2 linked regions of the Caenorhabditis elegans genome follow. The protein of the gene in region 1 purifies or fractionates together with the protein of each later gene. This does not show direct contact. Each region holds a gene or a part of one and is shown in the gene's direction. Other genes may lie near its edges.

Region 1 (4,842 bases):
GTAAAATATTATCTCATCTTTTATCCATCCCATTCGTTTACCTATTTACCTATTGCGAAATTGCCCATTCTGTTGCAAGAGCTGATTTAGTTTAGTTTATTATTATTATTGGATAAAGTTTCGCTGGGAGCAAAGAGTTGCGGGGGATTGGAATTCAATAAGGGTGAATTGGAAAATGTTTAGATTCTCGAATGATTGTTGATAGATTCGATTTGCTCTAACTTTCAAATAAACATAAAACAATGGGAAAGAGAAACGAAAATGAGAGAGAAAAAATCGGGGAAGGAGAATCTTGTGTAGTTGGAAGTTGAGATCAAGGAAGATTTAATCCTTTCCAGGTAAACGTGCAAAAAATGCTCCAAGGATAAAAATCTCATCAATTGCAAATTGTTTTTATAATTGAATGGGGTTTCTGAGAGATCATAAAGGAAACGAGTGTGAATTCTGACTACAACAGCTCAATCACCCCTAAAATATTAAAATGCCTAAAGTTCATAGCTGTACTTGAAGATAAATACGGCCAATGGCGGGGAAATGATTAAAAATCATTTATATGGTGCTAAAATAACAAAGTATCATAGTAAAACGTTTCTAAAAAATCTCAGAAAATTTTTCTTCGAGTCAAAAAGCAGGGCAAAACTGCTTCTTGACTCGAAGGAATGATTTTTAAATAATTCACCTATTTTTTGGAAGTCGTCGATTATTATTTGTCTTCCAGATTTATGTATATGTGGTCAAAATCCAATAGTCTAGGGTTTGAACATGCGACAGTGCTTTAGATTTTCGAAAAGTAATTCAGACTCAATTTTGACCGCTTTTTGAATAAAGAGAAAGCATTTTCCAAATTTTTTTGAAAAGTTATTTAGATTTATATAAAGGATTTTTTATTTAGATTTATATAAAAGATTTTCAATTTATTTTTCTGTCTCAGTAAACCCGTTCAGAATATACCCAGATTTAAACCAAATTAAAACCGTACAAGCCTATATTATGAAAAATTCTAATTTTGGGCAGATGTGAACCAAGATTGTCTAGATCCAAACTTAATTTGGATAGATTGCACGTTTGAGTAGATGTAAACTGAATTTGTGTAGGTTTGTGTAGATCCAAATCGATTTTGAGTAGATCCAAACCAAATTTGTGCAGATAAATTCACAATATAGGCTTGTACGGTTTTAATTTGGTTTAAATCTGGGTATATTCTGAACGGGTTTACTAAGGTCGTACTCTAGCTTTGAAGCAAAAAAATTGAAATATTTTGATTTTTAATCAAAAACTTGCATTTAAAGAGAGTCCAGTCAATATTTTAGTGAATTGCCAAATTTTTTGACTGAAAAATGAAGGGTTTTAAGAATTGCAGAGTATTGTTGCATGTTATATCCCTCACGATGTTTTGATGAAGATACAAATAAATCTTTATTTGTATATTGAATTCCAATAAAAATCTATTTTCTTCCAAACCGACTTCCAAAGTTATGACGGTACTTATCCTTTTCTACCCACCACTTTTTAAAGATATTTAACATACATAATATTTCAATTTTAATTCACAATATTCATCTTACAAGATAGTTTAAAAATATACTATAGTTTATAAATGAATTAAAAACATTTTATCAGAAATCTTGAAAAACGTAAACTTAAGTTTGTTTAAGAAGTTTTTATAAAAGATTTCACCACGTGGTGTTCCACGTTTTAAAACATAATCCCCGAAATAATCCAATCACATATCGATTTATTTCACATTTTATCACAATTCTATTAAAATTACATCGATTCAAACAAAATGAAGGTAATGTTCCTTGAGTAAATTCTTCCGGTCAAGTAATTAATTTATTTACAGAGTAAAAAACAAGAAAAAACTAAAAAATCGACAGAGTCTTCTACCAAGAGCGGAAATTCAAAAATTAAAAAGGTTTCTGATAATGCCTTCAAAGTAAGTTTCAAACAACTATAGATGTTGAAAATGAGATACGTGTTCAGAAACTCCGAGTCCCGAATCGACTACATCGTGAAACGTTCAAAACCTTGATGATTTCTAAGAAGCAAAATACAATTTCTGCTGATAAAAAGACGGCATATGAGATGAGAACGCTTGGCGGACAACATAAAGGATTTTTGAAAATTGATTTACCCTCGGAAATCATGAACAATCAGGCACAGTAAGCTTCTGCTAAGTCAATTAATAGGCACATAACGTTCTATTTTAGCAAAGTCGGAATGCCTGATCGTTACTCAACAACCTTGTTTGCACCGCCCGTTCCAGAAAACAAAGCTCAAATTCATTATTTGTACAATACATATAATTTTATGGATGATCTTACAAAATATGACATTTATCGACGAGCTGCACATTTCTTCATGATGATCCCGACGAAGAAAAGAGTTTCTGATCGAGTGAAATTGGCTGGGTAATTTTAATGATTAGGTTTGAATATAAATGAAACCAAATTTTAGAACTGCAGTGTGCTCAGTTTTCGACGTGAAAAGAAGAAGGGAAAAACTCAGATTGCGAGGAAGATCGAGACCTGATTATTCAAATTATGGTAAACGAATGTTGGAGTCACCGAGAATGTTGGTAGCAAAGTTTCTGGTTAGTAATTCTTCATTGAAATTGTTGTTTTTGCTTCAAAAACTTGTGAATTTCTTAGAAATACGGTCAGCCATACTTTGGCCAACTCATCACATCCCATAAAGAAGAAGCAAATAAGATGACAAAGACGTTGGTTGAGAACCTAAAAGAGAATCTTCGCACAAATACGAAGGAAACAAAAGGCCGCATTCTGGTTGGACGATTTGCAAATTTTATGCTATTTATTCATTATATTTTCAGAAGTTCTTGAGGCACAATCACGATTGGATGAAGGATCGGATGCTGTGCTGTCGGGATCCGATGTTTCTCAAATTTAACCGCAATCGCTTGTAGTATGTTGGAGGGCTCAAAATTAAAATTCTGAGTAGCAAAATTAATAATTTTCAGCACGAATGTTGTGAAACACCACCAATCAATGCCCTACCGCAAACGTGGAGATCAAGATTTGTTCAGCGAATTCAATTTTCTGTCACCCCATCTCGCATTTTCTGTTCATTTCTGCCGAGTTATCAAAAAGTTTCGAATCAATATGGCCAAGGAAGATGAAGTGCTACAAAAGGTTCAAAAAGCTCCTCAATAACTTAATTGTTTAATTTTACAGCATTGCAAATTGAAAACATTGATCCGTGTGCGTACTTCTCGATATGCTCATTTTCCAGCAATATCGGTTGTCAATTGTTGGTGGCTTTTGAGTATAAGTTGATTAATTTTAAAAATATTTCAGACAACAGTGGTAATCAGCTTCAACTTACGATTCCTCGAACTCCGAAGCGTCCTCCTTCTATTGTCACTGTCAGTGGATACTCAAGTGACAGTGCAAACTCAGCTGGAACTGATACTCCATTGGATTGGGAACTTGATTGGAAGCTTACTGACACTGTAATGGAGCATCAGATGACTTTCACGGGAGACACGGTAATTTCGTTTCGTCTTGATGGAAAATATAAAACTAATTTCAGAGTCGATGCAGTGTTCAGCGAGCTGCGGAAAAGAATTTCAATAGACGAAAGTGGCGAGAAATGACAAGAAGAAAGCAACTTTTGTTTAAAGCGGATTCACGATTTGAGTTGCAAGACACTGTGCCAATTTTTAAACAGGTGGGAATATAAATTTAGAGATGTTGACTTTATACGTTTTTTCCAGCTCACCACAATGCATCCATCACTAATTTACTGTAAACTTCGTGGAATGGAATTGAACAAATTGGTTCGGAGACAGTCCTCTGAAAAATCAGATGCCCCATCAGTAGCTCAAAGTGCAACTTCATATTTGTTTCAACAACGCATTACTTTCTTGGAGAAGACACTTCCATCTAAGAATGATACGAAAATTGTGCTTACTCCCGGATGGAGAACGTTTGCAATCAGGGAGAAATCTGAGAAATTTCCAAATGTCTCAAGAATTGTAAGTTATGGTATTTAATGGATTTAAAAAACCCACAAAATTTTAGTTGAGACAAAAAACTTCGTGGGTTTCGAAGAATTGTATGTCGAGAAGTGCAACAGTTCCAAGATGTGACAAACTTCCAATGGTATCTTAAATTCCTACCGTCTGAAAAATTAAATAAAAATAATTTCAGACTGTTGAGGTTCCACACAAAAAGCTGCTCCTCGTTCTTATTCTGCTTCTGACACTCGGATTGGTCATCGCTGCAATTGCCATGATCAGTTTTTTGTAAACTCGTTAATTCATGTTTTTTACAGTATTATTTATTCATTCTTGAAAGACAATAAAAAAATATTATAATTGTGCTTAGTATAAAAATTAGTTGAGAATTCGATTCGAATAAACGATTGCAAGTATTCCGAAATTTAAAATGTATTTATCAAGAAACTCTGAAAACGAAGTGAAGTTTAATTTGTATTGTTTTATAAGTATGAATTGTAGAACACAATTTTATTTTCAATAACCAAACCATCTGAAATACAAAAGAAATAAAAGAAGATTGCACAATTAATGAGAAAAATACACCGTTTAGCGGCGAGTTCCGTCCTCGAAGAAGACTCCTCCATCGAGAGCGCAGTACTTTGGACAGATTCCCTTCTCTCCTGGAGTTCCGGCTTGTCCTGGTGGTCCTGGTGGTCCAGCTTGTCCATCGACTCCTGCTGGTCCGTCTGGTCCTGGAGATCCCTTTGGTCCTGGTGGTCCTGGTGGTCCGTCGTTTCCTGGAGCTCCTGGTGGTCCTGGTGGTCCGGCTGGTCCTGAAAACAAAGAAAATTGTAAGGTATTGTTTGGAACAAGAGTCAACG
Region 2 (4,831 bases), on another chromosome or scaffold:
AAATTTCCAGAAATTAGAATTTTCGGCAAATCAACAAACTGACAAATTGCCAGAAATTAAAATCTCCGGCAAATCAGCAAATTGCCAGAAATTAAAATCTCCGGCAAATCGGCAAGTTGCCAGAAATTAAAATTTCCGGCAAACCGAAAAATTGCCAGAAATTAAAATTTCCGGCAAATCAGCAAATTGCCAGATAGTAGAATTTCCGGCAAATCAGCAAACCGGCAAATTGCCAGAAATTAGAATTTCCGGCAAATCGGCAAGCCGGCAAATTGCCAGAAATTAGAATTTCCGGCAAATCAGCAAACCGGCAAATTGCCAGAAATTAGAATTTCCGGCAAATCAGCAAACCGGCAAATTGCCAGAAATTAGAATTTTCGGCAAATCGGCAAGCCGGCAAATTGCCAGAAATTAGAATTTTCGGCAAATCAACAAACTGACAAATTGCCAGAAATTAAAATCTCCGGCAAATCAGCAAATTGCCAGAAATTAGAATTTTCGGCAAATCAGCAAACCGGCAAATTGCCAGAAATTAGAATTTCCGGCAAATCAGCAAACTGACAAATTGCCAGAAATTAAAATCTCCGGCAAATCGGCAAATTGCCAGAAATTAGAATTTTCGGCAAATCAGCAAACCGGCAAATTGCCAGAAATTAGAATTTTCGGCAAATCGGCAAGCCGGCAAATTTCCAGAAATTAGAATTTTCGGCAAATCGGCAAGCCGGCAAATTTCCAGAAATTAGAATTTTCGGCAAATCAACAAACTGACAAATTGCCAGAAATTAAAATCTCCGGCAAATTGGCAAATTGCCAGAAATTAAAATTTCCGGCAAATCGGCAAACCGCCAGATTGCCAGAAATCAAATTTTCTGCAAATTGCCAGAATTTTAATTTTCCGGCAAATCGGCAAATTGCGAGAAATTAGAATTTCCGGCAAATCAGCAAACTGGCAAATTGCCAGAAATTAGAATTTTCGGCAAATCAGCAAACCGGCGAATTGCCAGAAATTAGAATTTCCGGAAAATTGTTATTTTTAGAAAAATAGGATAATTTGAAAATTGAAGAAAAAAAACTAATAAAAAAGTTTAACTAAATTTTTTTGGAAGTTTTCACAAATTGTTAGTAATTTCATGAGAAATAAGTTAAATTTTTGTCCAAAAAATCAATTTTTCAGGCCGCCCAAGACCGTGAAGCCGCGTGGGCTCGCAAGGAAGAAGCCGCAAAGGCTGCGGAGCCGTCCAGCAGCTCAACTGATGCTCCAGAATCTGCTGAAACTCTGGAAATTCCAGAAGAAAATGTTCAAGAAATGACTGAATAATTTGTTTTTTTTTTGTTATCTCTTTTTTCTCCTTTAATTTATCTCCATTTATCCCCTACACAGTTATAAATTCTGCTACGTGGCCGTGTGGAAAAAACTCGGCCACCGATTTTTTTTTGTTCCCTCACGTGGTGCCAAAGTGTTTCATTTCTGTTTGATCTACAAAAAATGCGGGAATTTTTCCCCAAAAAACTGTGACGTCAGCACGTTTTTAATCGTGCAAAATCAGTTGAGAACTCTGCGTCTCAACTCCCGCATTTTTTGTAGATCTAGGTAGATCAAACCGAAATGAGACATTCTGTCACAACGTGTTCCCTTTATTGTTGTTGCAGTTGTTATTTGATTTTTTTTTTTGAAAAAATTTGAATTTTTTTTTCAGATTTTTTCCTCTGATACTGCTTCAAAAACTAAAGTTGTTGAGATCACACTATGATATTTTCTAGATTGTTTTTTTAAAATTTAATTGTTAAAAAAATCAGATTTCAGAAAATGCGAGCTGAGCTGCTCGGATGTGGACACACGGGCGAGGGACAGCTCGGCGTTCGGCTCTCCGAGTCGACGATTCAAGTTCCCGAGAGAATTAGTACGGAGCTATTTTTGTTGCAGAAATTAGAAAACAGAAAAAAAAATTAATTCCGAAATTAAATTTTAAAAATTAAAAAATTTCGGATGAAAAAAAAACAATTGGAAGATTTTTGTAAATCTTTCACAAAACTTTAAAAAAAACTTTTTTAAAGAAATAATGGCAAACCGACATTTTGCCGGAAATGGAAGATTCCGGCAAACCGGCAAAAAGCCAGAAATTAAAATTTTCTGCATATCGACAATTTGCCTAAAATGAAAATTTCCGGCAAATCGGCAATATGCCTAAAATGAAAATTTCCGGCAAATCGGCAATTTGCCTAAAATGAAAGGTTCCGGAAATCGGCAATTTTCCTAAAATGAAAGGTTCCGGCAAATCGGCAATTTTCCTAAAATGAAAGATTCCGGCAAATCGGCAAGTTGTCAAAAATGATAGATTCCGGCAAATCGGCAAAAAGCCAGAAATTAAAATTTTCTGCAAATCCACAATTTGCCTAAAATTAAAATTTCCGGAAATCGGCAATTTGCCGAAAATGAGAGATTCCGGCAAATCGGCAATTTGTCAAAAATGATAGATTCCGGCAAATCGGCAAAAAGCCAGAAATTAAAATTTCCGGCAAATCGGCAATTTGCCGAAAATGATAGATTCCGGCAAACCGGCAAAAAGCCAGAACTTAAAATTTCCGGAAATCGGCAATTTGCCGAAAATGAGAGATTCCGGCAAATCGGCAATTTTTCAAAAATGATAGATTCCGGCAAATCGGCAAAAAGCCAGAAATTAAAATTTCCGGCAAATCGGCAATTTGCCTAAAATGAAAATTTCCAGCAAATCGGCAATTTGCCTAACGAAAAAAAATTGATTACTTTGGAGCAAAATTGTATGCATCTTTAAAAAACTCTTTTTTTTTGAATATTTGTTTAAAAACTGTGTGAAAATAGTTTAAAATCGTCTCGGAATTTTCTCTGAAAATTGTTCAAAATTTCAGTTGGCGCTCCAAATGATATGGATGGAACCGCAGTGACGTCAGTCACGTGTGGTGAACAACATACAGTATTCCTGACAAAAGATGGCAAAATGTGGAGTGTTGGTAGTAATATGGATGGACAATTGGGACGAGGCAGTCGGACTGAGGGTTCTTTTTCGATTTATCCGGTTTCTTGGACAAGCAGTGCGAAAATTATTCAGGTAACTTTGAGTTTTTTTTTTGGCGAAAATCCATTAGAAAATGATTTTACCATATTTTTTCGCTAAATAACATTTGAAAAATAAAAAATTTTTCGTTTTTCCCTAGTTTTTGGCGAGAAAATCCCGTAGATCTCATTTTTGTAAACTCTTTTTCCGTGGAATCCCCTTTTCTTAGATTTCCATCTCGCAGATCCTCTTCCCATAGTTCCCATTTGCGTAAATTCTCTTCTCGTAGATCCCCGTTTCGTAGATCTCCGTCTTGTTGATCCCCTTCTCGTAGAATAGCAAATTTCTAGATCCTCTTCTCCCAGATACTCTTTTGGTAGATTCACTTCTCGTAAATCTCCTTCTCATAGAATTAATTTTGGTTCCCGTTTCGTAGATCTCTGTTTCGTGCAAGCTCCCTTCTCGAAGATTCCTTTGCCGTAGATCTTCTTTTCGTAGATCACCCTTCTCGCAGCTCTCTTTTTTGTAAATTCTCTTTTCATAGATCTGCCTTCCATAGACTTCCCTTCTCGGAGATCTCCTTTACGCAGAACGACGTTTTGTAGATCCTTTTCCATAGATTCTCCTCTCGTAGAATGGCTAATTCCTAGATCCTCTTCTCCCAGATCCCTTTTTTTGTAGATTCTCTTCTCGTAGATCTCCGTTTCGTAGATGCTCTTTTTTGTACATATATTTTCCATAGATCCCTTTTTGCCTTTAATGTAGATTTTTTCCATAATTACCCTCTCCGTAGATCTCCTTCTCGTAGATCCCATTTCCGTAGAATTCCCCCTTTCGTAGATCCCATTTTCAAAGATAGCCTTTCCGTATAATCTCCCTTTCGTAGATTCGATTTTCGAAAATAATAATCTCGCAGATCCCCTTCTCATAGATCCCCATCTGGTTGATCACCTTCTCGTAGATGCTTTTTTCATAAATTCCCTTACTTCAGATCCATTTTCCGTGGATCTCCTTTTCGCAGAGCCAATTTCCATAGATCGCCTTCTCGTAGAAATTCCATTTTTCAGATCTCTGCTGGCCGTTCTCACACAGTCTCCGTAACCGACGATGGGCGTGTCTTCGCTTGGGGCTCCAATGAGCACGGACAACTCGGAATGGAGAGTAAATTCACGTGGCAGGGAACACCACGACGTGTTCAAGAGATTAATGATATTGTACAAGTGGCGTCTGGATCCAATCATTGTATTGCGTTGGATGAAGGTAGAAATTTGGAAATTTGTGAAAAAATTCAAATTTTTGCTGGAAAAGTCCAAAAAGTATCTCAAAAACCTGAAAAATTGAAAAATTTAGTAAGGGGATATGGTCGGGGTACTGTAGTAGTACTGTAGGGGTACTGTAGGAGTACGGTAGGATTACTGTAGTTTAGGGAAATTTGACTTTTTCTCTTTTGAATGGATATTGGTTTGGGGTTAGTGGGGGGGATATGGTCGGGGTACTGTAGTAGTACTGTAGGGGTACTGTAGGAGTACTGTAGTAGTACTGTAGGATTACTGTAGTTTAGGAAAAATAAACTTTTCGTCTTTTGAAGGAATATTTGTTTTCGAATAATTTGCAAAAACGGAAAGCTGGATTTTTTTGAAAATAAAAAATAAAAATGTAATCCCGCTTCAACGCCAAAAGAAAAGTTGGGTCTCGTTAGGAATTGGCGGCGAAATTTTTTGCTAATTTTTGCTAATTTTGAAGCATTTTTTGTTGCTTTTAATAATTTTTGTACCAACGACGACCAAAAAATCATGGAA

The links.
Region 2: the proteins of ZC513.3 (region 1) and herc-1 fractionate together in Caenorhabditis elegans (co-fractionation; one large-scale study listed by BioGRID). This does not show direct contact.

Annotation. Positions count from the first base shown.
Region 1 is NC_003283.11:8,045,258-8,050,099, forward strand, and holds ZC513.3 (Protein kinase domain-containing protein), read left to right. Parts: upstream 1-1,748; 5' UTR 1,749-1,786; coding exon 1,787-1,792; intron 1,793-1,843; coding exon 1,844-1,936; intron 1,937-1,983; coding exon 1,984-2,162; intron 2,163-2,210; coding exon 2,211-2,411; intron 2,412-2,457; coding exon 2,458-2,593; intron 2,594-2,651; coding exon 2,652-2,786; intron 2,787-2,833; coding exon 2,834-2,925; intron 2,926-2,980; coding exon 2,981-3,152; intron 3,153-3,194; coding exon 3,195-3,270; intron 3,271-3,317; coding exon 3,318-3,508; intron 3,509-3,552; coding exon 3,553-3,690; intron 3,691-3,736; coding exon 3,737-3,997; intron 3,998-4,043; coding exon 4,044-4,124; intron 4,125-4,172; coding exon 4,173-4,271; 3' UTR 4,272-4,338; downstream 4,339-4,842. Other genes in the region: col-43 (Nematode cuticle collagen N-terminal domain-containing protein), read right to left, coding at 4,568-4,794.
Region 2 is NC_003279.8:1,209,688-1,214,518, forward strand, and holds the start of herc-1 (HECT domain-containing protein), read left to right. Parts: upstream 1-1,797; 5' UTR 1,798-1,807; coding exon 1,808-1,901; intron 1,902-2,886; coding exon 2,887-3,086; intron 3,087-4,099; coding exon 4,100-4,292; intron 4,293-4,831. Other genes in the region: nsun-2 (tRNA (cytosine(34)-C(5))-methyltransferase), read left to right, coding at 1,175-1,318.